Rhinolophus ferrumequinum: one gene and its partners. The protein of the gene in region 1 purifies or fractionates together with the protein of each later gene. This does not show direct contact. Links are inferred from orthologs where the notes say so. Each region holds a gene or a part of one and is shown in the gene's direction. Other genes may lie near its edges.

What was found.
Region 2: the proteins of PTPDC1 (region 1) and PPP2R2D purify together in Homo sapiens (affinity purification with mass spectrometry; 5 studies listed by BioGRID and IntAct, counting the BioPlex papers as one, with this or other methods). This does not show direct contact. The link is inferred for Rhinolophus ferrumequinum from reciprocal best matches to the Homo sapiens genes PTPDC1 and PPP2R2D.
Region 3: the proteins of PTPDC1 (region 1) and PPP2R1B purify together in Homo sapiens (affinity purification with mass spectrometry; 3 studies listed by BioGRID and IntAct, counting the BioPlex papers as one, with this or other methods). This does not show direct contact. The link is inferred for Rhinolophus ferrumequinum from reciprocal best matches to the Homo sapiens genes PTPDC1 and PPP2R1B.
Region 4: the proteins of PTPDC1 (region 1) and PPP2R2A purify together in Homo sapiens (affinity purification with mass spectrometry; 4 studies listed by BioGRID and IntAct, counting the BioPlex papers as one, with this or other methods). This does not show direct contact. The link is inferred for Rhinolophus ferrumequinum from reciprocal best matches to the Homo sapiens genes PTPDC1 and PPP2R2A.

What each region holds. Positions count from the first base shown.
Region 1 is NC_046295.1:6,097,868-6,105,544, reverse strand, and holds the start of PTPDC1 (protein tyrosine phosphatase domain-containing protein 1), read left to right. Parts: upstream 1-4,660; 5' UTR 4,661-4,724; coding exon 4,725-4,938; intron 4,939-5,420; coding exon 5,421-5,592; intron 5,593-7,653; coding exon 7,654-7,677. UniProt on the Homo sapiens protein: May play roles in cilia formation and/or maintenance.
Region 2 is NC_046299.1:1,054,379-1,061,721, reverse strand, and holds the start of PPP2R2D (serine/threonine-protein phosphatase 2A 55 kDa regulatory subunit B delta isoform), read left to right. Parts: upstream 1-4,460; coding exon 4,461-4,467; coding exon of another isoform or gene 4,468-4,550; coding exon 4,551-4,643; coding exon of another isoform or gene 4,644-4,775; intron 4,776-6,858; coding exon of another isoform or gene 6,859-6,901; intron 6,902-7,343. Other genes in the region: transcription initiation factor TFIID subunit 4, read right to left, coding at 3,794-4,775, 6,859-6,901. UniProt on the Homo sapiens protein: Substrate-recognition subunit of protein phosphatase 2A (PP2A) that plays a key role in cell cycle by controlling mitosis entry and exit. Involved in chromosome clustering during late mitosis by mediating dephosphorylation of MKI67.
Region 3 is NC_046294.1:80,154,956-80,162,555, reverse strand, and holds the start of PPP2R1B (serine/threonine-protein phosphatase 2A 65 kDa regulatory subunit A beta isoform), read left to right. Parts: upstream 1-4,592; 5' UTR 4,593-4,622; coding exon 4,623-4,736; intron 4,737-5,077; exon of another isoform or gene 5,078-5,214; coding exon of another isoform or gene 5,215-5,289; intron 5,290-5,546; coding exon 5,547-5,637; intron 5,638-6,038; coding exon 6,039-6,139; intron 6,140-7,600. UniProt on the Homo sapiens protein: The PR65 subunit of protein phosphatase 2A serves as a scaffolding molecule to coordinate the assembly of the catalytic subunit and a variable regulatory B subunit.
Region 4 is NC_046301.1:41,060,586-41,067,776, reverse strand, and holds the start of PPP2R2A (serine/threonine-protein phosphatase 2A 55 kDa regulatory subunit B alpha isoform), read left to right. Parts: upstream 1-4,172; 5' UTR 4,173-4,473; coding exon 4,474-4,480; intron 4,481-6,304; coding exon 6,305-6,379; intron 6,380-7,191. UniProt on the Homo sapiens protein: Substrate-recognition subunit of protein phosphatase 2A (PP2A) that plays a key role in cell cycle by controlling mitosis entry and exit. Involved in chromosome clustering during late mitosis by mediating dephosphorylation of MKI67.

The sequences.
Region 1 (7,677 bases):
TCTGCACCAGAGAGTGGGTCGGGCTGAAGTGCTGTAGGCCTGACAGGGTGAGGTAGATCCATGGGACGGGCACCTAGCAGTCATAGGAACATTGAGATAACTGGTGAAGCTTGAGTGAGGTCTGTGGGATAAAGGGCAATAGTAATGTATCAATCATAATTTTCTGATTTGGCAGAATTGTAGAGAACATCTTTGTTTATGGGAAATACACACCAAGTAAGTTATTTGGAGTGTTGATGTAAGAAGCGCCCAAACCTGTAGAGAAGTTTATTTGAGCCAATCTGACGACAATTGCCGGGCAGCAAAAACTCAATGTGTTAAGAAAATGCTCCAGAAAATGGCAGTTTCACAGCTTATTTTATACATTACAATCAAAGGAGGAGACATGAGGAGGGTTACATGAAATCCATTTGCGGTACATTAGTGGGTGGTAGAAAGCAAAGCAGGGAAATCTCTGGGATTGAATAAAAAATAAAATGGAGAGACACATACTTCTTTTATATTGGTGGGTACAGAATAGTTAACAATGAACATTTATAGCACATAGAGATGGTATTCGGAAACAGGATAACAATGAGGGGTTCTGTAGTCTAGTGCTCTGGTGCGGTGGGTTGTGCCCCCTGGGGGATCCAGAAAAAGGGATTACTCTGACATTCCAAGGATATGTTATCTTAGATGCAAAAAGACGATAGACAGCCTCACTTAAGGTAAAGATTGACCTTTGTCAAGGACACTACAGGCCAAGGACATGACTACCGGCCATGTCCTGCTTTCAGTTAGGAATTTATATGTTCAGACCATCCTGTGTGGTTAACTTCGGTGTCTGAGTTTGTAGGGCCTGCTGTGCTGGCCTCCTCTGAGATTGTCAGGGTTTGTATGTGGCCCCTTTTTCGTGCACAGGAGTTATGGGGCAGCTGCTTGCCATGTATTCTCAAATGGTTCAAGGGAAAATATTCTTTGTGTTACAACTTTTCTGTAAGTTTGAGATTGCTTCAAAATAAAAAATAAAATAAAATCCTCTCCAAAAAGTTTTTAAAATTAAAGCTAAGTTATTCAATTGTGTTGCATACTGCTATGCAGCCAAATAAGACAGTTCACCTTGAAACAGACCATCGGAAACCTTAGCAAGAGCACTTTCCAGTGGACAGTGAAGGCAGACACCAGAGTTAAATAGAGGTTGAGGATGAGACAGATGGTAAATGGAAATGACAGATGCAGTCAGCTTTTTTAGGAGTTTAGCTGTGAAGGCGGAGGAAGGGCCCTTAAAAGAAGGGGAATCATAGTTAAGGGTCTGGAAACAATGATGTATACTAGTGATGTTTGAAAAATTAAGAGTTAGCCTAAACAGGGTTTGGGAAGTCTTGGAGAAGTTCTGTCTTCAGATATTTGAAAACCTCGCAAGTCAAATAGGTGCTGCTTATTATTATTTTTTTTTTTTTGGAGGGATGAACTAAAACCAGTGTTTACAGAGAAATGGATTTTGGCTCAACATTAGAAAAATCTCTTGATCTGTCCAGCAGTTGAATAGTTGCCTTGTGAGCAGTGAGCCTCCTGTCACAAAAAGTGGACAGTGAGAGGCTGGGAAGTCGGTGTTACAGCCTGGTTCCTGGATGTGACGCCTGTATTGATTTAGGACTGAGACTGGATGGATCTGTGCTCCCACTGCATCCTTAGGCCTATTGTTGCCTGAATGTTTAAGTAGGAGTTCTTAGCCCTTTGTGAGAGCTTGAGTATAACAGGAAATTACCAATTCTTGGGTTCCACATCTGCTTGGGCTCTGTAGTGCTTTAACCACCGATGTGTAGACATTAAAGAGGAAAGGCCAAGGGCCCACGGGAACCTTTAAGTGGGTTTCTTTGTTGTTTCTTGTGCTTATCACAAGTGTAGATAATTTCATATTTGCAGTGACCAGTATGTCTTTTGGTTCCTTAAATATCACTCTAGATGGGTCTGAGTAAAAACGTGGGTGAGTGTGATTGCCCACCTGCAAACAGGCCAGTGACCGCAAAGGCATTGAGTGGAGAATGGAGTGGGAAGTGTTCGTCATGCTGGGAGAGGGGCCGTTTGTGTACTGCAGATTGCAGCAGCCTGGGGGAGTATAGGACTGCTTCCGGGGATTATCCTTTGTATTGTTTTCCTACTGGTTCTTAGAGCCGGACTTTTTTTTAAAACAGTATACTTGGAAGTGAACTGGGTAAGAACAGTATTGTCAGGGTCCCCTATGATTTTATATTCATGGAATATAGGAAACTGACATTTTTTTCTTATGTACTTAGAAAAATAAAAAATATGTTGTCAGAGGAGGAAAAAAAATTGATCGGTTGTTAGCAGGTAAGTGGGAAAACCACAGTAGTGTTAGTTCTGGTGGCTTACAAATAAATAATGGTGCAGGAAGGAGGAAAGGAGAGCAGAGAGGTAAACGCAGCTTAGGACAATGAGCTTCTACAGAAGCTCTCTTGGCCACCAGGGAAAACGGCTCTGTACTTTTCAAGTAGGATTTCCAGGCGGGACTTCCCGCCCGTTCTCAGGAATTTTTTTTACTTTCCCTTTCCCGAATCCCGAGATATAAACTGTCGTCTGTTCCCCACAATGAGTTGTTTCCACACAGTGACAGCCGATACTACCAACCACCTGCCGCTTTTCCCGACCAACTTTTCTCAGGGTTCGGGAACGGGAAAGCGAAAAAAATTCCTGAGAACGGGCGGGAATTCCGCCTGGAAACCCTACTTTCAAGTGTCTATTGAAAGCATGGTCCTTCATAAAAGTACTCTTAAAAATTTCCATTCTGTGTAAAATATGAAATAGAAACCAAAATAGTCATGCTGCCTGTTTAAAGATAAGGCTTTTATTTTTTCCTATTGGTAATTTAAATAATTAAAATGTTATTTCTAAGAGTCTGAACAATTTATCATTAGCAAGTCTCACCCTAATCACATTTGTTTTCCTTCTCAGAACGTTGGTTGAGAGCGTAGTCACTTGGACTCTCCTCTGTAAATGTCCTTAGAGTGGCAGACCACAGGCATCTCGCACGTACTGGCCGACACCTCCTAGCTGCCATCTCACATGGCTTGTGTCTTAGATGGACTTGCCTGCTCATTTTCTCACGCACCTTCTCCTCATGGGCTCCCATGTTAACCAGCTTCATTGTGTCTCTACTGCTCATTTAGGTGGGAGGTACTGGGACTGTCTCCAGCCCATCCTCCAGGTGCCATCTGTCCGCCCCTGTACTGTCTCGCACCCATGCTTTGCTCCCTCACTCAGTCACTGTCCCAGTGGGTCCCTAGTCCTAGTCCTGGGCTTTCAGCCCTGTCTCTGCAGGGCAGTGTTAACCTCAGCATGGAGATTTGCTCAGAAGCTGGCTCTGACTCCTGTTCCCCAGATGCAGATGCTTATTGAGCTCTTAGGGCCTTCTGCCAAGTTTCCAACTTGCTTTCCACGCTGCACCTACTATTTCTTCTCCCTTAAAGCTCTGAAAGCTGTGCTTTCTGGATTAGATACATTTTTTAAATTATTGTCTATTGTTACATACAAAATAACAGGGGCATGGTCCTACACTGAGTCGGGATTCTGACACCAAATTGCCTTACTTGACAAAGTTCATCCTATTGGGAGGTAGGGGGTGCATTTTAAAAGGTGTTTGCTTAAAGCATTAAGTGTCTATATTAAGTATCTATCGCAGTAGATTGTTTCCGTCTGCACAGGCTGAAATACCATTTGGAGATAGAGACATAGAGACAGAGACAGACAGAGAGACGGGGGTGGGGGTGGTGCAGCCTGACATGAACCAGGGAGGAGGCGGACAATCGGTGGTTGTTAGAATTTCTGTTTTCTTTATATCCTTTATCCTCAAGTTACAACCTCCCCCTCATAAAATTCCTTAAGAAAAAGAAAAAAGTGATACTTAGGGGTTTTTTATATGCCTCTGGCAAGACATTATCTAGCTTCTTTTCCCTGAGTCACCAACAAAAGGCACTCAATTGTGTTTTTGAGAGGCCTGGCTACTGTAACGATCCAGTAAAGGCATAACCAAGAATTGGGTTTTCACATTCTGAAAATAAAAATGTAAAAGCAAATATCTTTTGATTAACATATCAGCTCTACAGATAGCTTTATTTGTTCTGTCCAAGAATTTAATAGTTCTATCAAGAAAACAAAGATTATGTTTTTGAAAAATGGAATGATGTTTCAATAGCGTTGTAAGGTATCCAGCAGGTCCCACTTCATTACGATTAACTTTCTGTCCACCCTGTTCCACAGAGGAGTAGAAAGAGAATTTTTTTCAACACGTTTAGAGAATAGATAAGAAAAGAATAAAAGAATTTAAACCTTTTAACATGCATGTAAAAGGCAGTGTTTGCATCATAAAGACATTTTTCTAAATCCATTATTGTATTTTAGATGTAATTCTTCGAGTAGTCAGAACTTTTAAATGTGTTTGAGAAACAAAATAGAGTAGTTGCAATTTAGGAATAATTTATTTAAAATACATGTTATTCCTCCGCACATTTGAACAATCTGTCCAATGCAGTCCATGTGGGACTTTGCTTGTACAGTTCTGAGTGGGAATCAGTAGTGTCTTTGTGCGTTGCTTTGGAAACAAATCAGCCTATCCTGAATGCTGTTAGATCATGTAGAGTGATGCTCACATCGCAGTGCAACTTCATCACAGAGCAAGCTGGCGCTGCCATCTCCTCGCCCAGCTCTCCTCCTGGGAGCCCAGCACCATGCAGGACCCACCCCGGAGGCTTTTGGCCGTGCCCTTCCTCAGCAACTTCTTCCAGGGCCGTCGGCACTCGGCCTCAGACCCCATCCTGCGGCTGCCGCCTGGGCAGTGTGGCTCTGCCACCAAGATGCTCTCCTCATCCTCTTTCCAGGTGATGGTGGCGGTGTCCTCTGTCAGCTGTGCCAAGAGAAACCCACCTTGCCCCGAGAGAAAAAGTAAAGCTCCTTTTCTTCTTAAAGATTGCCATACCTTTGAGTTTAAATTTAAGGGATGTGAAGAGGCTGTGCTGTGTTTATACCTTTTTAAATTTTGACAATTCTTCATTATACTTTTTACTGTCTGTTACACTAAGAGTTTTGGTAGATATGTAATAGGAGATAAAATGATTGAATGTTTTGTGCTTGTTCATTGAAAATATAGTTTTTGAACAAACCTCATTTCCTTATAAAAGATCTGCTTTTGCTGTTCTTCCTCTTTGTGACCAGTATGACATGTGGAGGTTGTGTATGAAAGTCTTTTCCATGTTAAGAGATAATGCACTTACATGCAGGGAAAATGGTTTTAATCATGGCAAAATGAAGAGGAGTTAGCACTGGCTCCTCATCTGCAATCCTGAGATAAAATGCAAGCTGTTTCTCAGGTCACTGTTCCATATGCAGAATGGAATTTTGAATCTTCCCTTTATTATATGTTCTAGGAAATACAGGACGTCCAACAGCAAAATATACAAAAGTTGGAGAGCGTTTGCGGCATGTCATTCCTGGACATATGGCCTGCTCCATGGCGTGTGGGGGCAGAGCGTGCAAGTATGAAAATCCAGCCCGCTGGAGTGAGCAGGAGCAGGCCATTAAGGGGGTCTACTCGTCCTGGTGAGTAACTCTGCCGGGCTTTGGTAGCTCTCCCCTGCAGCTAGATAGGACAAGGGAGTGAAGATGTACGTGGTGCCGGGACACAGCGGGCTACAGGAGAGGGACAATGGGGTTTGAAGTCACGACCTCACCTTCCGTGTCTGGCCTGGCCACCTGACGAGCCGTGGCCCACTCACACAGGTGCTCTGAACCTCCATTTTCTCATGTGGGAAATGGAAATAATAAAACCAACCCCATCGCGTCTTTTCTTAATTAAATGAAATGATGTATGTAAATATCTTAAAGAAATGGTAACTTGTGCTCTTAAATTTCAGAAATTGCTAGAAATAATAAAAATGTGGAGCTATAAATTTGAGGAAATTCTGAGGTATATATGTAGTTTTCAGTTTCATACATGTAAGTGTTGCCTATTTTTTATTTTGTTCCCATATTCTGTATGAAAGGACCCATTTTCACACAAATATACTTCCAGTCTGCCTCAGTAGGAGTGGTACAATTGTCGGTTCAGTGGACAATATAAGATGCTTGCATTATTTATGGTGTGTAAGTGCATTCATTATTGAATCATACTGCTTTTCATTAATAGTAAACTGTCAAATATATCTTTTTTAATGTAGTGATATCTGAAAAGTTCTGCTAATCAAACCAAATCCCATTTGAAACATACTTAGAAGAATTCACTGTTTAAAGAATTCTAATGGTGAATCATTTTATACAGCAAGAATCCATTTACAAATTAGATATTTGTCAATCAGCTTTTCTAACTTGCAACCTGTACTTTTTCATATTGGATATGCTGGGCACATGAGTAGTGATATAATCAGGGGTCCACTGTCACTGTTCTCCACAGATCATATTCTAATCCATCACTGTCTTTCTTAAAGAATGTTGTAAAAAAGCAAATATGATTCCTAAGGTGTGGTCAGACAAGTACATTGCTAATAATGTATGTAGCTTAAGGCCACAGTAATATTTTTGATTTATAGCTAACTAAACCATCTGAGTCTTTTTCATCTCTGCTGCTTTCATGTTACATCTCTCCTCATCTCATACTAAGTACTATTAAATTGGGGATTGTCCCAAACCTTTAGGGGACCTTGTTGAATTTCAGGCATTACTCCAGGGGGAGGAGTATCTTTTTGGATCCTGCTCTGTTCATTTAATGTCACTGTTACTCCTCTCAGGTTCGTGTGACCCACAACGTCCGATAGACTGCCTGATGTGTCTTTTACCAGAATACTGATGAGAAATTCGACCAGAATGGAGTGAAGCCAGAGTCCTAATGTGGGACAGCCATTTGTTGGGCCTCTGTCCATTCACAAACTCAGTAAACATTCATTTGTCCACAGGCCAGGCACTGTGCTAGACCTTTTCAGTTATTATCTCATCTTCATAAACTCTTGTGAAGTGGGCATTGGTAATGTTATTTTATTGATGAAGGAATTGAGGTCCAGACAAACGAAGTAATATGCCACACAGCTAGAAAGTAGAAAAGGCAGCATTTGAATCCAGGCTCAACTGACTCCAAAGCTCTTATTTTTGCTAAATTGCAGTAACTGAGCATTTATTCATAACCATGTGTGAGGATTTTTGCTACACACTTTATATTCATGTCGTATTGAATTCTCACACTAACCCTGTGAGGCAGGTGTTATTCTCCCTATTTAATGCATAGGTAGCTGAGCTGCAGATGGCTACCAATCGGCCCTCCTCATTTGGTTAATAACCTTTGGATCTCTATCACAGACTGTCACCTTTGCTGCCAACTGAGGTTTCTCCATTGTGTCCACTACAATCTCATGGGAGTCCTTGAAAATGCTTTGTAGCGGTTCATAAATACTGGAATTTGCCCTGGAATTTTTTCCAGGGATTTAATCAGCTAGGATTTCTTAGAGCCCTAATCATAATGCAAAATCAAAGCCTGATTTGTATAAGGAGATTCTTATGTTACAGAGTTGTTGAAATCATAGAAAAAGTAGGGGCTTGATATCGTGCTCTCTCAGTCCTTAGAGCTGGAATGTCCTAGGTTTTGTGCATCTAATCAGACCCTTCCATCTGCAGGGTCACAGATAACATCCTGGCCAT
Region 2 (7,343 bases), on another chromosome or scaffold:
GAAGGAAGGACTAAGAAATCGGCATGAAGCAAGTCTCAGCCAGCTGCTAAACGTCCAGAAGGGACAAGTCTCTGGGCAGGGAAATCAGGAACGATTTCTCCAGCATTGCTCAGGTCCCTCCTTGAGTGGGCACCGCAGGAAAACTGAATCAGCCAGCAGCAGCTGGAGGCCTGGCACAGGCGTCCTCCCACCCCACGCAGACCAGTCCTGGGAGGGGCACGAGCGGTTCAGCTCACGGGCCATGGATGACGGTGTATTTCTGGCAAGGCAGGTATAGTTCAGGCAGAGCAAGTGCTGGGGTTCTCCCCACGGCTTAGCCATGCCAGGGAGGACGCGGGGGTGTCCTTGCCCGTTGTTTCCTAATACCTGGGCCTTGAGGTTACAACTGAGCTTAAATGGGCTGTAAGTCTGCGTGACTGCGAAGCCTTGGGCGAGTTATTCTCAGCCTCAGTTTCCTCGCCTAAAATGGGATGTCAGCGTGAAGGTGTAGGGCTCCGTGAGCATTAACCAGGATCATGGAGCATGCTTGGGGAGTCCAGACTCTTGGAGAGCACGCGTGACACTGAGAGCACAGATGTCCCCTCGAGCTGTGCCCGCCAGTCCTCAGGAGGTGCCCCTCTGCCTAAATACAGGCGCAGCTGGCACTCAGCTGTTCGTACACGGCTGCCACATCGCCATGTCACTGTGAATCAGAGTGATTTAAGTGCCTAGACTCACACACAGCAAAGAACAGCTGGACGAATGAGTGGACACGAGTCTGTTTATTTCACACCAGACACACTGTATCCATTTTCTTTTGCTGCCCTCAACATTACCACAGCTAATGGCTCGGGACCACACACATCTGTCATCTCACAGCCCTGGAGGTCGGAGGTGGGCTCCGCTGGCTCTGTCCAGGCTGAAAATGGCACCTCTCGGTGGGCTGTGCACCTGTCTGGAGGCTCCCGGAACCAGTCTACTTCCAAGCCCTTCCAGGCTGGTGCCTGAATTCAGTTCCTTGCAGTTCGCTCAGGACTGAGGCCCCATTTTCTTGCTGGCTCAGCCAAGGACAGTCTTTGCTGCCAAAGGCTGCCGCATCCCTTCTCATGCTTTCCGTGTGGTCTGTCCGGCAACAGCAGGCTAAGCCCCCCACACACTCTGCATCTCTCTAGTCCAGCTGGAGAAAGTGCTAGGCTTTTCTGAAAGCTCATGAGATTAGGCTGGGCACACAGATAATCCCGGCTAATCTCCCCACAGTTAAAGTCTGTCATCTTAATTACATCAGCCAAGTCCCTTTTGTCAAGTCATGTCATGTAACGTAGTCCTTTCTTTTTTCCTTCCTTCCTTCCCTTTCTTCATCATCTGAAGAAAAATTCAAGGAGCCAACCCTTCTTGGCAGGAACAAAGAGAAAAAATGGAATGAAGTTCAATGCCTTGTTGAACTCCAGCAGTAAGGCGGCAGCAGGTTATGAAAAGCTTCATTCACAATCACCAGAACTCGGAAGGAATCCAGACGTCCTTCAGTAGGTGAGGCATAAACAAACTGTGCTGCATCCAGATGTTGGGGAGGAAAAATTATCCTGTACCCTCAAGGTTCTTCTGGCTGGACGAATGATCAAATCAACACGAGACAGATTAGCAGAGAGAAACAAACTAACGTTTAATAACATGTCTGCCTCCTGTACACATGGGAGAGACCCAGGAACACTGAGTAAGTCACCAAAATGGCAGAAACCATCACCTTAAATACCACCTTCGGCTACAGACAGAAGATGCTGGGGTGGAGAGTCAGCTATGGCAGGCTGTCAGGAAAAGCACAAGAAACAAGAGTCAGGCTGTCGTGCAGACTTGCGTCCCCGCCTTCTCCATCGATGGTGAAGGCAGGCTGGGCACAGTGATGGAGATGCCGGACAGATGGACACTGCCCTCACAAATGAATGCCCTTCAGCAGAACTTCTTGCTTCTCAAAGCTTCTCCCACGTCTGCTGTTTCTTAAAACTAACCAGCCTCAAATAATCAACATCCCAAAGTGGCAAATTTTGGGGTGGCCAACTCTGCTCACCTTCACAGACAATGGAATATTATTCAGTGATAAAAAGAAATTATTTATGAAGACATGGAAAGATACAGAGGAATCTTAAATGCCCATGACCAAATGAAAAAAAGCCAACTATAAGACATTCTGGAAAAGGTAAAACCATGGAAATAATAAGATGGGTGGTTGCCAGGGTTGGGGAGAGGCAGGGATGACGTGGCACAGCACAAAGTCCTTTTAAGCCGTGAAAATACTGTGTGACACTATCATGATGGATACGTGTCAGTGTACATTTGTGCAAACCCATAGAATGTGCACCACCAGGAGTGAACCTCAACATAAACTATGGACTTTGGGTAATTATGGCATGTCCATGTGGGTTCATCCCTGGTAAAATATGTACCATTCTGATGAGTGATGTTGATAAGGGAGGAGGCTTTGCAGGGCTGTGTGGGAAATCTCTGTACCTTCTTCTCAATTTTATTGTAAATCTAAAGCTGCTCTAAAAAATAATAATAATAAATCTTAAATTTACAAAAAAAAAAAAATTGTCCAAGACACAATTGCAGCCACTGCACTCTATGACACAGCTGTGTGTGCAGCACCTGGCGTCGCACGATGAGGATGAATGGCCCAATGAATGGCCCGTGGGACACACACTGGGGCTTCCTGTGGCTGCTCCCTTGGGTCGGCCAGGCCAAGGCGAGTAACCCATAGGAAGGCGGACCAGGATTCCCCTCATATGAACAACTTCCTAAAATCTGGTGTGTTTAGTTCGAGTGGAAGATGGCACTCCTTATCAAGAGGGTACATCTGTGATAACTCAGAGCTAGCTACTAAATCTGAACTTGGAAACAATCCACATTTAGTATTTTAAATGGTATTTAGTTACCAAAATCTAAATAAATCAAAGAAAAAAATTTTTTTAAGTTATTCAGGGAAGAACAACAGCGTATGTTTTAAGATACAAAGGAAGGCAGCTCACTGTCTTCAGGCATATATTACCATGTTTCTCCCAAAATAACACCTATCCGGACCATTAGTTCTAATGCGTCTTTTGGAGCAAAAATTAATATAAGACCCGGTCTTATTTTAATATAAGACCCGGGCTTATGTAATATAGTATAATATAATGTATATAATCTTATATAAGACCTGGTCTTATATTAATTTTTGCTCCAAAAGACGCATTAAAGCTGATTGTCCGGCTAGGTCTTATTTTCAGGGAAACACGGTACTTTTGTGCTACTTTTGTTTTTAAATTTTAATTTAATCGTAGCTAATTAACCAAAGAATACAGTCTAAACTAAAACTAATTATCTTCAAAAGACTTATCTTAAACACACATGAAAGCCATTGCATATAAGAGAGTCTGACTCACGTTTTCAACAGCTCAGGAGCAGACCGGCTAAATCAACAAGAAAAAAAAAAGATTACGGCCCATTTCTCTGCTCGTCCTCACAACAAAGGGTTGCCGTGACTCACTGCCTCTAACTGTCCTGTCACTTTCTCTAAAACGCTCTCAGCGCAGGTTTGCACCGTCCACTCCGGGACTGCTCTCCTCCGGGTCAGAAATGGCACCCCGCTCGCGACAACCAGTGGGCCCTCTCGGCGCTCCGCACGCAGCGGTTAAGAGCGGACCACCCCCTCCCGGCTTCACGGGCTCCACCCGCTCCCGCGTCTCCAGGCGCCCACCTCACAGGTGGCTCCTCTTCAGCCTCCTGCGGGGCTCCGCCCCTGGACCTCGTCCCCATCTGCCCGCCCTCCCTCCTCGCTCACCTGGTCTCTCCTGGCTGCCATCCAAGTCGAACACAGACTTCCCGGAGCTCACACTGGGACCGAAGAGAGAGCTTTGCAGCCCCGCCAGGTGCGAGGACGCGCTCCGACGCGCTCGGACGCGGCGCGCTCCAGGTGCGGCCCCTCAGAGCGTGCTCTCCATTGGCTGCTCCGTCGAAGGACCGCGCTCCTATTGGCCGCGCTCCACTAGCTGCGGGCGGGGCCGCCTCGAGCCCTCCCATGACCCCCGAGGTGGACGGGCGAATAGCGGTGGTCCTGCCGCTGGTCTTCAGAGGCGCGCCAGCCCCGGGCCCACAGCCGCCCGCTGGCCGCGACGTACCCTGGCCACCCCGCCGCGCCACGTTCCGGGCCTGGGACAAAGCCCGGGGCGGCCCGCGCAGACGCACTGGCGCCTCCCGGCAGCCCCCGGCAGACCCCGCGGCCGCGCGCCCCACCCAGCCCAGCGCAGGGGAGCTCCCCGCCCGGAGGCGGAGGGGAATGACGTCATTGAGCAGGGCGACGGGCATTGGGCGCCATTTTGAAAAGGGGAAAAAAAATCCCTCCCCGGCGCTGGCGGCGGCAGCCGGGTTAAGGTGCTCGCGCGGCAGCTGCGCGGCGGCAGCCTCCTTCGTCCGCCGCCGACTCGGCGCCCGCCAGCCTGCGGCCGGCCATGGCAGGTGGGGTCCGCGCGGGGCGGGGCGGGGGCGGAGGAGGGGGACGGGCGGGTCCGCGCGGCCTGACGCGCCGGGTGTGTCCACAGGAGCCGGAGGCGGCGGCTGCCCCGCGGGCGCCAATGACTTGCAGTGGTGCTTCTCGCAGGTCAAGGGGGCCATCGACGAGGACGTGGCCGAAGGTAAGGCCGCGCGCGTCCGCGCCCCCTGCCCGCACCCGCCCGCGGCCCTCGGGGACCCTGGTCTCGTGGCCGCTCCGGGGAACTGCCCGGGTCCGGGTCCGAGACCGCGGGCCTGCCCAGCGCGGGCTCTGTCTGGAAGGAGCCCAAGGTCACAGAGCCTGCTGGGAGCTGGGGTTTTCGGACGGGGTGCTGGGTTCTGGGTCTTTTCCGCTGCAGGTGGCTGCCTCCTGCGTGTGGCAGAACTGTGGAAATCGCTGCAGAAACGGGCCTCGAGAAACAAAATCGGGATAACTGCAGCGGGGAGGCCTCAGGTCCCCACCCAGGCGCTCTAGTCACCTGTGGGTCTTGGGCAAGCTGATTGGCCTCGGTTCCCTCGACTTGAAAAAGAGGATTGGGATTTTATTATCAATTCTTTCAAGTTCCTCCTGCAGGTTTTACTCTTGAACCTTACGCTGTTACTTGAAGTCGGTTGTTCTTTCCTTAATCGTGCCCCTAAACGAGCCAAGGTACACGGGATTTAGGGTGGTGGGCAGGAAGCTGCCTGTCCTAAAGTAAAGCAGCGCACTTCTTTCCCGCACACACGGTCGCGGGTAGCCCTGATTCTTAGAAACCCAGAAGTTTACTTCCGGCCACATCGTGACTTCTCGTTGCTCAACCATCTTCCCGAACATTGTGAACCCGTAACCTTCTTATAAAATTCATTGTCTTTACACCAAATGCACCTTTTTTGCCCCCAAGTAACGGACAGCCTCGGGTCCCTCTGTGTCGTGTCCCCTTTCCTCCTCCTTGGCCCCTCCCATGACCTTCTGCATCCTTGCCCTTCACCGCTCACGCTCACCCGCAGTGTGACTTCTGGAGATTCTTGGCCCCGAGGACAGCGCCCCATTAGTAAAGCAAGTAAACTGGGCGCTCCAAGAAATTTGTGACGACGCATGTTTGAGAGTGAAACTAGGTGATTTTATATACTCTGAGTAATTTGATCCTGCTCCTTCTATAGTTATTTATGTAGTTATTTATATTTTCATTTTATATATGCCAAGTGAATGACAGTTCAGTTTACACAAAATTTCTATCAAGAGTAGCAAAACCTGTTTGTTTAGGGGTAGAGAGGGGAGAGGGCTTGAGGTCTACCTTAATTTCTGGTTTCTTTCCCTTTTTTTTAAAGAAGTTACAAGCCGAATAAATTAAAATTTAAATGCAACTAAAATGACATATTTTAAGTGGGGTGTTGCACTTTGAAAATAGGCTGTCCTTTAAAAAATCTTGACAACTGTTTTGTCCTCTGAATTAAAACTGATAGGAATTTTTTTTGCAGTTTTAGTAGAATTTTGAATACATCTAAAAGCTTGGTATTTCAGGTTATCTTTTTGTGAGATTTGTTTTGTGGTGACAGCCCCCATGTTTTTGATTGTTGTGTGTACTCAGAGGCTTGTGTCTTAATCCATGTATGATCTGGCCTCTGTAATCCATCAGAGTAACACATTTATAACTCTTCATCCTTTGTCATGTTGTTCTGTCAAATTGTGTTCGTTTGAATCGCGTTGTTCCAATAGAAGTCGATGATAAAGGAAAACGTCATTGTTAGCAGCTAGTGATTGTTACGCAACGAGAGTGAAGATGGTCAAGAAGCTGGTTGTGCCCAGACACCCTGATGAAGAAATGTTGGGAAGCGATGACAGGAGATGGGTAATTTCAGGGAAGTTTGGACCGGAAGTTTATTTGCTAAGATTGGAGGCTTGTCAGGCATTGTGTTCTTGAAGGTTTTGTTCTGGTCTGAGCTCTACATGAGGAGTCCCACCGTAAGCTTGGACCGTGTGCTTACCCTGCCTTGGGTGATCAGAAAGTGCTGAGATGATCAGCTGGGGTCCTCCAGTGACGTAAGGACAGCACCTAGTGAGTCTCAGGAGGTGTGGGCTCCCCTGACTTTGAAGGATGAGGAGAGGGCACAATGGAGGGAGGTTTTTGATTTCCTTTGGTTTTTAAAGCTAATCATGTTGGGACACTTGAATCCCAACTCCTGAAGAAAGTGTTGTATTGTGTAAACTTTGATGCCCGTTTCTCTTCTTCTTAAGAACAGGGTTTTGCTCGTGGGTCAGACCAGCCATGGTACCATCAGGGCTTTCCCATCTCCCTGCGAGTAGGTGCAGAGCTGGGCTCAGAAGGAAATGAGTGATTGTCCTGATGACACGATGCATGAGTAACAGTCACTGCTCACATGCCTCACTCTCCTTCCCATACAGCAAGCTGGCTATGGCCATAGGTGGCCCCGAAGGTGCATTAGGTGAGCTTTTTTGCCTAGGGGAGCGAGTGAGAATCGTAACACCCAGGGACGCTTCCAGTGGAAGTGAGAAGTTGTTTGGTAGGTGGTGCCTCCAAAAACCTGTGCTCTGAACGGTGATCACTTTTTGGAAGTTGTTAAATGTGCAGATTTTTCACGTGTGATGTCACCATTACCCAGCCCGCTCCCTTTCCTTGGGCAGTGCCCTGGGTGAATGTTGTTAGCAGACGCCACACGATACTATAACCCTCGCTTGTCTGTCTTCAACAGTGTGAGCACCTCAGGCTTGAAGGCGGGTCCCTCAACCCCCCGCCCCTTGTGGAGGTCCCAGCCCAGAGGTGGTGACAGCTCACAGTGTTGAGTGTTATGTTCCAGAGCTGCTCCCAGCTACCTTGTCTGTCGGTCCCATCCTCACACAACCT
Region 3 (7,600 bases), on another chromosome or scaffold:
CCAGAGGTTTTCTGTTTGGTGTTTGGGTTGGGCATCAAATTCAGTGAGCCCTTGGTAATCAATAACATAACTTCTAATATTTGCATAGTGCTTTCTGTTTGCAAAGAACTTTACCTTATGGATCTTATTAATCACAACAACCCCGAGAGAGAAGTAAGGTAAGATTTGCCCCTATTTTACCGATGAAAAAAATCTTCTGGAAGGCTTGCAGTTGGGTCTTCTAACTCTAAATCACATTCTCTTTTCATCCTTTCACACTGGTTCTCTTTGTTGCCAAAGCTCAATTCACTGGAATGTTTTCTTACCTGTTTCTACTTCCTCGGTAGATAATAACTATTAATGGCACATATTTGAGGGCTTACTCTTGTCAGGCACTAATCTAAGCATTATATATGAATGATTTAATCTTACCATGTCCATAAAGTATGCTTTAAAACCCCCGATGTATGGATGCAGAAACCAAGATTCAGAAGGTTATTTGCTCAAAGTCACACAACTTGTCATTGGTAGAGCTGATGTGTCAATCTAGGTCTTCCTGACTCCAGGGTATATTCTCTTAACCATTGTATATGCTGCCCTGCATCAGAACTGACTGTCCCATTTCTTCGATTTGCTCCGAGAATTCAAGGAAAGTTTTGCTCTGGAAATCCAATACTTTTCTTATATATAATGATAAACTGTGGCATGGACATAGAGGATGAAGCAAAGAGTAGTAATAATTCCTGATTATGAGTTCATAGCTTCTTCTGATTTATTGTGTAACTCCAGGTAAAGTCTCTTTCTCTTTGTCAAGTATTCCCAGTATAAAAATGGGATTAAAATTTGGTCACAAAGTAGAGACGAGAAAGAAACGAAGATATTGAAGTGAAGTTGAAGAGAGAATATTTGAGTCCCATGGAATGGAGACATTCTTTGTGTAAATAGAAATGTAAAATATCATTAATGCTATGGTGATAATCACTACTTTTTAATGAATTCAATTCAAACCTGAGAATCAGTTTACCAGGGTTGTCTTGCTAAATGAAGATAGTTGGGAAATGCCAGCATGTGTCTCAGATTTTCTGTGCATGAACTGGATGACCCACCACTGCCTTGATGGCCTTTTCAATGGGATGACACTTCTGAGTCTACCCTGCGATAATCACCTACATACTGTTTTCTCTCATGCATAGTGAGAAAGAGGCGAGCTTAGTAAATGTGAGGCAAGAGACCGGAGAGCACAATGATGTCATTCAGACTTGCTCAGGACTGACCCTTTTCTGTTATGGCACTGAGAGTGGTTACAAGCACAAGAGTTGATGGCTATTGATCCCATCTGCCTGTGCTGCACCTGACAGAAACTGGGCAAGTCTAACCCTGACTTCCCTTGATTCACTGAGTGAGGGAGCTGTACGTGGGTGTCAGAAGTCAGTGTTTTTGTGCTGAGAATGTCGTATTTTTTCCCGAGGGTTGCCTTACATCCACAACCTAATCTCAGCTGTTGCCTCTGGCGCTCCTTGGTCATTAATTTCTTGTGGTGTGTGTGGGACGTGGACAGGAGACTACAGGGAGCAGTAGAGAGGAGGGGAGAGGAGGGAAGGAGGATATGGAAACAGCTCAGTGCCACAGTAATTGTAGTGCTTAGCTGATTATCTAGCAAAGGAGGGATCATTTTACTCTGGCAAAAACCACAGCCAATAGGGACAGAATTGCTTATTGATAAGCAGTTATGCCTGTCATTTGCTTTTGCTGGATAGAAGTGGTCTCCAAAGATTCTTTTCAGACTCTACCTGAGTAGGTGCTTTTTTGTTGACATGGAAATTATTTTTGCAGACGAGCTTTTTAAATCAATGACCTTTGAACATCAGTGTACATTAGAATCACCAGGGGTCCATGGTAAAATGTCTCAACCCATTCTCAGTAAATCTGATTCACTAGGTCTGGGATGGGGGCCAGGAATCTGCATTTTTACACAAGCATCTTAGGTGATTCAGATAGTCAGTGGACCACACTCCCCAAAGACTGTCTTGTTCCAGTTTCCATTTGGCCCAGCTTTTGAAATAGCCTCTTTCTGCTGCAATCTGTTTGTTTGAATCACTTTCTTTATGAAAGGATTTATTAGCATCTCCATGTTTACTACCTGTTTCATTCTCGTATTGTCACAGTAACTAGAGAGGGATCCAGAGGTGGTGAGCTCCATTTTACTGGGGGTGAGGGCGTGGGAGGTGGGATTGGGGCACAGGGAGAAGTAGGTCACAATGAGTCAGAGACAGAGGTGGGAACTGAAGTCCAGAATTGATGCCTCTAAAACCAGTCAATTTTCTGGGGCCTATTTTCTCAGCTTGTGATTTCATACTTAATCATAGTTATTCCATAGGTGTCCAATTCATTGTGCTTGGGTAAGCAAAGAATATTTGAGTTTTAAACAAAATTGTTTAACATCAATCACTGTGCTAATTTTTGTTTAGCATATCGAGGCTTGGCTAAGCTAGAGCTAACGTCTAGATGATGATATGTGTGGAACTGATTTAATGTGCTTCTCTCTGCGCTTGCTTCCTTAATCATTTCTGAAGACTTTTTACAAGTATAAGGGAACAGATTTCTGTTCTCCATGCCAATAGGAACCCTCTCTGATCTTGTAACTGGTAAAGTACTAAATCAAAAAGCCCTGTCTCTCAAACTTGAGTAGTATCTGAATCCATTTCTAAAGACAAAAAGTCTTAAAAACTCAGTCAACTTAAAGTTATTTTTATCACAATGTTACTTAAATTTACAAATACAAAGTAGAAATTAATGTTCTTTTATTTATAGTTCTTATACAATTAAAACACCAAAATAGATTTACAAATGAAATAAAAATGAAACCAAAAAACTGATACAATTCATATTACTATTATAGTAATTTAACATGACAAATGATGTGTTTTGCTGAGATCAAATTAGCCCTTGTATTGTGACTATGGTATTGCCCATGAGAGCTCAGCTTCTTTTGAGTTCACTGTGCCACCAAATGACCTACAATATCTCTTTTTTTGCAGTACATTTCTGTTAGAACTACTGTGACATCAGTGAACATCAGTGCAGTCCCCTGATGTCATTTCATTTTGTTCATGAAAACACTATTTTCATTATAAATTTACTTCTGTTCTTTTCTCATTATCCCAGAACAATAAAAGCAGCACTGAAACACACATGCAAATGTAGGTGTTCAAATCGTGTGGCAACACCAGGATATAAAGTGGTCATTCAAATAATACAGAATATGTCTATGCAAATCTAAAAAATATCATCAAGATGAAAACAAGATTAAAACCCCAGAGAATATATCCACAGACCTAATTTGAGAAATACTGTTCAGGTCCATTGGTTCCCACTTTCACAACTATTAATATCAAATGCCCTATCTATTGCGTTTACTTCCAGGTACAAGGTGTTTAAAAAAAGTTTCCTAAATTGCATTTATTAATAATTTTACGTTTTTATTAATCAGACACACAGAATTACCATTTCAGAGCTTGTGATCGCCATATATAGTTATTACTCTAAGCTGCTTATATTCCAAAACAAACAGAAAAGGCAGGATATTCTAGTTAATCTGTGCTGCCCAAACAAGGGTAAATAAAAACTTTCCATTGTTTTGTAAGAAAGAATTCCATACCCTCACCTCCTCCCATTGCTGCCTTTGAGGACTCTTGGATTAGCCACTCCACCCAAATTGGAAGTATTCAAGCTTGTCCTACTTTTGCTTGTTGTACTTTTAGCACGCTAAAGACCTAAAAAATGGGAGGAAAAAAATACAACAGAAGGCACCATTCCAGTCCCAAACTGAAAAGAAACACAAAAACAAGAGAGCAGCATGTTTTTAACAGCTTGCATGCAGAAAGCAGAAAAAATATTGACTGGGGAGTTTGGATAACACTGTTCATTTTCTCTCACCGCCCGCGTTATTTGTCTTACGGAGCAGGAGCCAGATACACAGTTCTGGCGCAAAGGCAGAAGGAAGTGGTGGAGGGGTTTTGTGGAAGCTTGAGGCTAGTGGGTAAATGAGGGCTGGAGATCCAGTGGCTCTGGGCCAGAATGAAGTTAGGGGAGGCGAAAAATCGATTTTTCCTCCTGGCCTTGGGCATCCTCTTTGGTTCGCCCGAGTCCTAAAGAGGTCACAGCACAGATCATTCAGGTACGTAGGTCCCTGACCCTTCCCGACCACCACGAGTAGGATGAGTCCCTGCCCCTGTTTCTTTCGTCTGGGTAAACGACGCGGGGACTTCATTTGCTTTCCCAGCCCACTCTCCTTCTGGAGTTCAGAACTACAGTTTTCGCAGGGGGGGCTGGGAGTAGGTCTCCACCAAACGGAGAGAGACTCGGTTTTCCAACTTCAGCGGAGCCGGAGCGCGGGGCTCAGCTCCGCCTGCCTGGGCGCGGGGCGGGGGCCTGAGCGCGGGGCGGGGGCCTGAGCGCGGGGCGGGGGCCTGAGCGCGGGGCGGGGGCCTGAGCGCGGGGCGGGGGCCTGAGCGCGGGGCGGGGGCCTGAGCGCGGGGCGGGGCCTGAGCGCGGGGCGGGGCCTGAGCGCGGGGCGGGGCCTGGACGCGGGGCGGGGCCTGGACGCGGGGCGGGTGGCGGTGACCCGGCAGAGGAGAAAGAACATGGCGGGCGCGGCGGGGCCCGGCACCGGCCCCGGGGCAGCGGGCGGAGATGGAGACGATTCGCTATACCCGATCGCGGTTTTAATTGATGAGCTCCGCAACGAGGACGTGCAGGTACTGGAATCGGGCCGGAGAGCGGAGGCGGGCCGGGCGGGGCAGAGCGTGTGTTAGAGAATGGGAGGCCGGCGCCCAAGTGGGGGAGGCTCGGGGATTGAAAGATGAAAGAGCTGGCCTCTGAGCAGAAACTTGAGGCGGAGGGTGGGAAAGATCCGTGAGGGGCTCGATCCGGCCGTCCCTTGGACTTCTCCAGTATTCCTCCTCCCGACCCTCTGGGGCGTCGGCGGTTGTGGGAGAACCGGCTTCCCGCCAAAGCACCCCTATCTGGTCGTGCGGTGGGAGTCCTGAGCTGGGCGGGTAGTCCTTGTTGATGAGCGGGCGGCGAGGTGGCTGGAGCAAGCTACAGGGATGCCAAGGGGCCCTTTTAAGTGCCGGTGGATGAATGCCATCCTCTCGCCTTGGAGACTGGCCAGGCTGGTTGGGTAGAAAGAGAGGGATAGCTAATTAACCTAGAAGAGCCCCTGTATCAGCTCTAATGGAACTCTTCTTTGAAAAGGCAGGAGTTGCAGTCAACCGTTTTACCTGCTTCACCGCTGCCAAAGTTCTCTTTGTAAGATTGCCTCACTTCCTGGATATTGTATTCTCTTTCATTCATTTCTCTAATGGGCCCTTCAGAATGTTTCTACTAAGAAATCTTCCTTTGGCCAACGAAGCCATGTTACACTGCTCCAGAGGATTCTCATAGAATAAAATCTAAATTAAAGGTTTTCCTACTTTTTATCATGTCATTATCTCACCTGTTTGCAACTTTTTTCTTTGGTCTAAATCACAACTGTTTCTTTGTTCTTTCCACTTCCTTTTTTAAAGCTCCGTCTCAACAGTATTCAGAAGTTATCAACAATTGCTCTAGCACTTGGAGTAGAAAGGACAAGAACTGAACTGCTGCCATTCCTTACAGGTATGTGAATCTTGTTTAAAGACAGGCATGGGCATTACTGTTTTCCAGTGGTTTTTAAAACTTTGTTTTTTAGAATTTATTACCCACAGTGTTAAGCACTAAACTGAGTGTGATACTTTCTGTGCAAAAGGAACAGGATGGAGCATATTGTAATGTGGTCAGACGTATTCAAATATGAACTATTTAGCTAATAGGAAAGTAATTGATAATGGGATTATGAATTTCTAATTCATTGTGTAAAACAGATCCAGGAAGACTCTTGATTGAGAAGGAAGAAAATGCTGTTAGGATAGTGACCGGACCATCTGGTTACATATTGAATCTATTCCTAGTTTTGTGTGAGTGTCCAGCTCTGGGCCAGCTATCCTTGTTGATGAGTACTGGGTTGTTGTCATTTCCAGATACAATTTATGATGAAGATGAAGTACTGTTAGCCCTTGCTGAGCAGCTGGGAAATTTCACTGGCCTGGTGGGAGGTCCTGACTTTGCCCACTGTTTGCTGGTGAGTACATTCTGCCTACCTTCCTTCTAGAATTTTTGCAGTATAAATGATACATTGTTTTGTGATAGGCACACTGCAGTATTTTTTAATGCAGATCTTTTTATGGATAGTCCTAGTGCTAGCTGTGGAGAGAATAACTTTGGACTCAATTAACCCTTATTTTTTCTGACTACAAATATGAGATCTTCCTCTTTTCTTGTCTGCCTCTGTAGACTTGTTAGTTTAGAGATTGGGAGAAAAAAGATTTGATTGTTTTTGTTTATGGTATTTTCCCCCCTGAAATTGGAAATATTAATTCTTATCTAGTAATGTCATGACTTTGAAAATGTTTATTAGTTTTTTGTCTTTGATTGTAAGCATAATTTTTATTTCTGACTTACTTTGTGAATTTGATGAGTTCAGTTCAATTTAGTTGACAATTATCGAGAGCCTGTTGTATCAGACCCTGAAGTTATAATGTTGATACTAAAGCAGACCATTGTGAATGGAATGAGGTCTCTGTTCTTATGTGTCAACAAATAATTACTATAAAGTATTAGGTGGAAAAATAGAAGTCCGTACAAGGTACCCAAGTAATAGAGAGGAGAAAGGGATTAACCTGGGGTGATCAGGGAAAACCTCTTGGGCGATGACGTCTGAACTAGGTTTTGAAGGGCGACTAGGAATTCCACAGTTGGACAGATAAGGATGTATGCTTAAAGGCTTAAATACTGTCTGTATGATGCTGACTCTCATGATTTCTGTTTCTATTCAAACCTTTCCATGGAACTCCACATATAGATATAGAAAGATGATACAAATATCTGTTTGTCTCTTTCTATATCTGCCTTTGATTTTTCTACATAGATGTCAAACAGGCATTTCAAATTTAACATGCATAAAATAGAACTCAGTTTTCTCCCCAAAAATATGCCTCTCATGTAGTTGTCCCGTCTTGGTAAATAGTATCACCATCTACCCAGTTACACAAGCCAAAACCTAGAAGACATTCTTGAATCTTCTTTCCCTCATTTTCCGCATCTAGTCCATTAGTAACTTATATAGCTTCTCTCTATATTTTAAATCAGTCCACTTTCCTCCATCCCGCCTATCACTTAGCTCGTTGTTCCTCTAGATTACTGCGGTAACTTCCTAACTAGTTGCCTGCCACTCTTGTCTCCTACCCCCCTCCCCCCCACCCCAGTTCACTCTTCACTTCGCAGGGATCACTCCCTGCCATGGCTCATAGAAAATCCAAATTCCTACCTTAGCTTGTCCCTTTGCTTACAAACCTGCCTCTGTGAGCTTATCTCATACCATATTCCCTTTTGATCACCTCATTCCATTCACAATGGTCTTCTTTCTGTTTTTTGAATCAACCAAGCTTATTATTGCCTTAAGACTGTTGACCTAGGTATTCCCTCTAATAAAATGTTCTTTTGAGCTTCCTGGATTGGCTCCCTGTCATTCAGATATCAACCT
Region 4 (7,191 bases), on another chromosome or scaffold:
TTTGGAGAAGCTCAAATGTCAAAGGAGAAAAAATTAGCCATTGTGCCGCTGCTCAGGGACATTTCTGGGAACACCTTGGTACATTTCCTTCCTGTCTTTTTCGGTTCTACATATATTCTGTTTGTTTTTTGTACGTACTTGTGATCATATTGCATCTGCATTTTTGTATCCTGCTCCTGAAGCACAAGCAATTTCCTCTGTTTTTACAAAAGTTTGACTAAGTAATAATCCACCTGGTGGATTCACTGTCGTTTTTCTTAAACACCTGCTAATGTAGGATTTTTGGTGATTTGATGAGTTCTACACCTTGAATGTTGTTGTGTGAATTGTCATTATAGTCTAGATTTTACAGAGTTTTGGGAAGCTGACTTCAGGCCAAATTTGTAGATATGAAGGAAGTATATAAAAATATACTTGAAATTTTCCCCTGTAAAGCCCTTGAATCTGCTCCATATCAGAAAGCATGGCTGTGGTGGGTTTACCAATATTTTAAACTATCGTTTTCTAATTAGGAACTTCTCCTTTTACCCTGGAGTTCACGGTCTTTCTTAGACACCCCTAGTTCTAACTTGTCTAGAGGAAAGAAGCATCTAAAGAGTGCCACTTCTCATTTAGTGTAGAAGAGGGTTTGTGTTCGTCTTAACTCCAAGGAAAAGAACAACTTGCAAGTAATTCTCCTCTCATTGTATAATACACTTTAAAAAGCTGTCTTGCAAACAACCCACGGGTGAGTCCGTTAGCTCCATTCTGCTGGCAGGATTGTGGGTGTTCTTGGTACCTCTCAGCTCAGCTTGTAAGTAGAACAGCTGCAGGACTTATAGGCTCTGCAGGACTTCACAGGGAAAACCCACAGCGAGTTTCCTCTTGTGTGTCTAAGCTGAACTCAGTTCTGCAGGGAGCTATTTGTTCATCTCACAAGTGGTCAGGTGTTGAAGGGCTGACTAGGGGCTCCCTTGAAAAAATGCTCTCATGGTAGAATGTGGATGAGGGAATGGTGTCCCATGGAATTTCCTTGGATAATATGTATTCAGGGATAAAGGACCAGTTGGATGCAAGTAGTTGGGATGAATCTATCTATAAGCAACTTACATCTTTAACCAACTATTGCCTAACAAATGTACATCAGGATAACCTAGATAATTTGCAAAACGCCTCCTTCTTCTAGGCATAAGAAGGGTGAGTGAAAACATTTATGATATGGCAAGCTTTAAGAAGCCAATATTCCACTGGTTTTCTTCCCAAGCCAGAGATTTATTCATTCATCCATTAATCCAAAAAATTATGTGGCTGGTGATACAGGGATGAATAAGAATATTTCCTACTCTCAAAGAATTCAGTCTAATAACAGACACATATTTAAATAATTTAAACATAATCTAGTAAGAGAGAAGTGCATCAGATTGTATGAGACTATTTAGGAAGGGCACCCAGCCCATTTTAAGGTGAGTAAGGAATGGGGGTGGAAATGAGCAAAGCTTTCCTGGAGGAAGTTACATCCGAATTGTTTTTTAAAGAACCTTTTACTGGCTGAGGAAGGAAAGAGGGATAGGCATGTGGGAATGTTGGAGCGGAGTGGTAACTGGATAGTGATTTTCCAGGCAGAGAAAAAGCATCAACCCAAATGGAGGGAACACAGAATCGAGACTTGTGTTCTGGCAGTGCTTGTTCAAACAAACTTATTGGACATTTGTAAAAATGTCAAGTAGGCAGGTAGAGGTGTGTGTGTGTATCTGCAATTTTGGGGTAAGGATAGAGCTAGAGATCTAGATTTGGCAGCCACTAGTAAATTCATGGTATTTACATCTGTAAATATATGGAAATACTATAAGAGGTTGCCCAAAAGAGTGTGTGATCAGAGAAGGGGACCCAGGACAGAGGCCAGGGAGACAGATCACCCTAACATTTAGAGGATAGTCTGGGAGAAGGAGTCAGCAAAGAAAACTGAAAGGGGTGGCTAGAAAGGTTGGAAGGAAACAAATCGCGTGTCAAGGAAAAATGGTCTCAGTAAGGATGGCGTGAATTAGTCATTTCAAATGCTTTTGGGAAGCTAACAAAACCAAAGAAGTGACTGCTGGATTTGGTAACATGAAGATCATCGAAGACCTTGACAGAAACCATTTCAGTGAAGTGGTAGGGACAGAAGCCCTAGTACAGAGGATGGAGGCTAGAATGCAAGATAAGGAAGGGGGGCTAGACTAGAGCAACCCTTGCCTTTATGCTGGTGGGTATTCTGGCCTCTCTTCTTAAGAGCCATTCAGAAGAAAGGGAGGCGGCTTGTGCTCCACTGATATGACTGTTCAGGGTCAAAACGTGCCAGGTTGCGTGTACCTGGGCGCCAGGATGCACAGACCTTCGATATTACACCCCCCTTAGCTCATCTCATGACATGGAGTGCCCTCTAGACTGTATACAATGCTCTTAGAACAGCGTCCAGGACATTGTCAGTGCTGTATGAACTTTTGTTATCATTACCGCAGTTTCTAGGCAAGCTTTCTTGTCTTCTAAGAAGAACACATCATTTATATAGACCAAATCATTTTTCAGGATGTGTGAAGATTCAAATCTTACACGTGGCAAAAATTGAAGCATAAAAAAGAAAAATGATTTGCATATAGGGGTGCTAGTTTTCAGTTGAACGGTCTGTGTTCTCTCTCTCTCTCTCTCTCTCTCTCAATCTCTCTCTCTCTCTCTCTCTCTCTCTCTCTCTCTCTGTTTCTCCCTCCCTCCCTCCCTCCCTCGCTCCCTCTGAGTTCTGGTTAAGGTGGAGAGCTCTCACTAGTGAAAAGGAAAATGAATAGTAAAGGCACATGCTGAGAAATAAATTTATGGAATCAACCAAAATAGAAGTAAATACAGCAAACAGAGAAGTGAAATGTTGTACCTGTTTGTACAGGTAGCTGAAAGATGACAGATACAGGGTGGATTTTTAGTTTTGATTTGTTCATTGGTAAAGTGAGAAATATTAATGTAGAAACAGAGGAATAATAATACAGTGGTGCAGCTGTTTCATGTGGAAGAATTCTGAATCTTGTTTTGTAATTGAACTCTTCTGGAGAGCAAGACTAAGGTAGAAAGTGGAAATGATGGACAGGAGGTAAATATTGTAAACTTCCCCTTGGTCTCCAAATGCCTTATCACTCTTTTCAGCCTTAAGGTCAAATTCTAAATACTTTGCAGGTGTTTTTCATGTCCAAAATTTGGATATCTATCTCATGGGATTACTGTGGAGATTAAGTGACATGTAAAATGTACAGTAGTATATTGTGACTGCATCATTAATTCATCTTTCAATGAAGTGCACATGCCCTCTTGACTGATAACTAGTGTTTTCTGTTTATTTTTTTCTTATACCTCTTAAATCTATTGAAGATGCTTTCAATACAAATTTAATAATAACCACAGCTAACAGTTATGTACTCAAATTAAGTCATTTAATCTTTGAAACAATCCTATAAAGTAGAATTGTTACCATTATCTCTTGTGTGGACTTAGCATTTGGCAGCCAGGTTTCAGAGCCCAGCTCTTAAACACTGTTTCTACACTTTTAGCTGGACAGAACTGGGCCACTCTTCCAGCCATATTCTGCTACTAGCAAACTCAGTGTTCTGTTTAGTAACCACTCTTAACTGCTTTCAGTCGTCAAGGACTCTCGCCTCAGTTCCCGGGTCACCCAGATGGAACCATTCCAGCTACGTCCTTTTAAGTTCTGTGAACTTTCACCTTGGCTAAGCAGCGAGTTTGCACCACTGTCCCTTTTCTTCAGTGGACTCAGGGCTAACCCACAGGGTCACTATTTTAAGTAGCAATACTGGTATTCTCTAAAAAGACACAGGTCTGCACGAATCCCTCAGTGAGCACTTGAACTGGACAGCTGAGCCCGTCCCAGGGTAAGGACACTGTCACGAAGGCTTGGGACACCGTGATGTGCAGCAGGGCCGCGGGGCTTAGACGGGGAGAGCCGGTACAGGGACCAGATCATCAGCGTGCGTTCCCGGGCGCGGCACGGGCTAGCCACCTAGGACACAGCAGCCGGGAGGGGGAGGAAGGGGCGGAGCCAGAAGCCTGCCCGGCAGCTCCCCCGCCCCTTCCCCTCTGCTGTCCGTCCCAGCTCTTGCCCCGCCCCGCCCTTCTGGCCCAGCCCGGCGGCTCCGCCCCCGGTGACGTCACCGGCCAGGCCAGCCGGCGCCATTTTGAAAGTGGAGCCCCTGCCGCTGCCGCCGCCGTCGCTGTCGTAGCTGCCGCCGCCGCTGCTAAAGAAAGAGCAAGAGCGGGGAAGCACAAGAGTGAAATCCACCATCCTGCTGGCTGGTCTGCCCGCCCCTCCTTCCTTCTTCCCCGACCCCCGCCCCCTCCCCCCACAGGTGCCATCCGCCGCCATCCGCCCTCTCTACCCCCCCATCCCCAGGTGAGGGGGGTGAGTTCAGGAAGCAGAGACCCCGAGGAACCCAGCAGGGTCACCATTTGCAGCGCAACATGGCAGGTAAAGGAGAAATCACCCTCGGCCAGTGACAAGGCACCGCTTCCTTCCTCCTCCCTCCATCACCCCCTAGCGACCGCCTCTGCCTCTCATAGAGCCACGGGGCGCCCCTTGGATTTCGGGGAATTGGTCAAGTGGGGTGGGTGAGGGTGGGGAGGGTTCTGGTGAGGCGAGTGGTCGCTGTGATACCGAAATGGCTTTTAAAATGAGGGCTGGAACCTTGGCATGGATGGGGGTGGGGTGTATGCCGGCGAGCTGTGGGGTAAAGGCGTGGGTGGGGCGGGGTGGGGGCGAGTGCAGATTTGTCCCCACAGCTTTGGAGCCTGGTGTAACCTCTGCTCCCCCCACTTCCCCGCCCCGGGCTTTTTGGCGGATCTTCCTTCATTTAATTACTATTTTTTCCCCTGCTGCAAGCCTTCTTGAGTGTTTATACAAATATATTTTGCACTGAGAAGGAAGAGTGCTTTACAAGTTAAAATGCAATCGGTACATATGTGTATTTTTCCCCACTGTGGGTACGTATATTTTTGAGACTGATTTGTTTTGTTTCCAACCATCTCCCTTTCGTTTCTTACCCTTTACATCCAAAGAGTGCAAGGTCTTGAATACAGCAAGTTGCATGAAAAATGTGATTTCAACTTTCCGTTTTGCATGTTAGCTTTTGTGCAGATGTCCTTTTCCCAAAAGGCATTCAATCGAGTTAGTTAAAATAGTTGTGGAGTTCAGTGATATAAATAGCCATGGGTAGAGGGATTTAGGTAAAAGCTTGGGATGGAGAGGGGATACATAGAGAAAACCAGGTTGGAATATTTAGCAAGGAATGGAAGTGAAGGAAGAGCAAGATAATTGCTTTGAGGATTACTTTTGTACATTTTGCTGTTGCTGAGTATCCTTCATGTAGTAGAATCAATTCTAGATCTGGATTCAGTTTCTTTATCCATCGATGCAGGACATTTCCTCCTCAAGTGCTTAGAAGTGAAATAGAAACATTCAGAGACTAAACCAATTTTCCGGGCTTCTTTCAATATTTAGATAGATGATTAAATCTTTGAAAAGTTAACATGTTGGGTTTACTTATGGTTTGCTATAAACAAGTTGCTCTTTGGCCTTGTCGAATAATTAAGTGAAATTAAAATTGTTTCGCACAAGATGACAAATTAGCAAAATTAATTCTCTGCAAGGTCCTCTGGAATCTGAGGGATAAGGTGAAGGGAGGCAAAACAAGCTTCCTTTTGACAGTCTCTTCACCAGTATTCATTTCTGCTTTTCCTCTCGAGCTAGTGATTTGCTGGTAATGAAATGCAAGAAATGGGTGGTGAGTGTTGTGTTTGCTGTATGTGCTCTTTGGTGATAGGTTCTTATGAATCCTTGCTCCTCAGGCAGGCAGTAATGTTCCTGAAGTTTTCTCCTCGTGCCATGTTTTATGGTAGTTTAACCTTATTGACTCTTCTAGAAGCAGGCTTTTTAAAGGAAAACACTCTTTAAAGGAAAACTCTCTAACTTTTGGTATTTGCTTTTTCCTGGTAGGTCGTGCTTGAATGTAAGGTTTTTACTGTATTTGAGGGAAAAGGATGTTTTAAACACATGTATAGTGTTAATGCCAGTACATGGCCTTTAAATATTTCATACCCCGAATCTCTTGTTTTCTAAAGCAATACCAGCTATTGGGGACTAGCCTTTTTTCAAATTAGTGCTCTGGGGTGGTGGTAATGTATGTGGGCAGTATGAGGCTATTAGTATCATGCCAACCATGGATATCATCTCAGTGTTGACCGGAGTAAACATGAACGGAGCTCAGTTTTAATTGGTATGTTTTCTTTTTTCTAGGAGCTGGAGGAGGGAATGATATTCAGTGGTGTTTTTCTCAGGTGAAAGGAGCAGTAGATGATGATGTAGCAGAAGGTAAGAAAGCATTTAATAATGCAGAATTTGAGTATAGAATGTTCAAAATCTTGATTACTGAAAATTTTCCTCGCAGATGAGTCTGTTAATAGTTGAAGAACATTTTGTATTGTCCAAGCAATGGAAGAACAGTTTTAAAAGTTAACCTTTCTGGAAAGTAGTCTTAAATTCTTCATTCTTTATGCCTCATTTTATTATTTTTTCCTGAATTAAATGAAAGGAACAGTAGATTATAAATATGAAACCCATGAAAAGAAAAGTCTGAGGTCTGTATGATAAAGGTTTCCTTGCTATATAAATTTCACTCACAAATAAATGGTGATGCATCTTCATGTTTGTATATAATTTTTAGATAATTAAGCTGAAATAGGTGCATCAGCATTTAGCTCAGAAGCATCTTGACAGCATCTTTTATTTCTGAAGGAAGATTTTTAGTTTTTTTGAACTTGCCTATTTTGAGATTGTGGTGTTGATTGGCATATTCTGTGAAGAAATGCTTGTTCAAGGGATGCATTTTATTGTCTTGTAAGGATTGATTTACGTGGGCAAGAAAACAGTGCTATGGATATATTGCACGTCTTCTGAGGGGCTGCCTTATTCTTGTGCTTTTAGAAGCTGGATTCAATCAGTTGAAGTGCTTAATTCTTAATTTTACCCCCAAAATTGTTTATTAGTGTATTTCAGAAGTTTAAAGTTTTGAAACTTTAGGGTTTTGCACTCATCTGAAATGGTCTTAGATGAAAGAGGCATTATTTCCCAAAAAGTAGTTGCATTATTTCATCATTCAGAAATATTACTTAAGGTTTGAACTT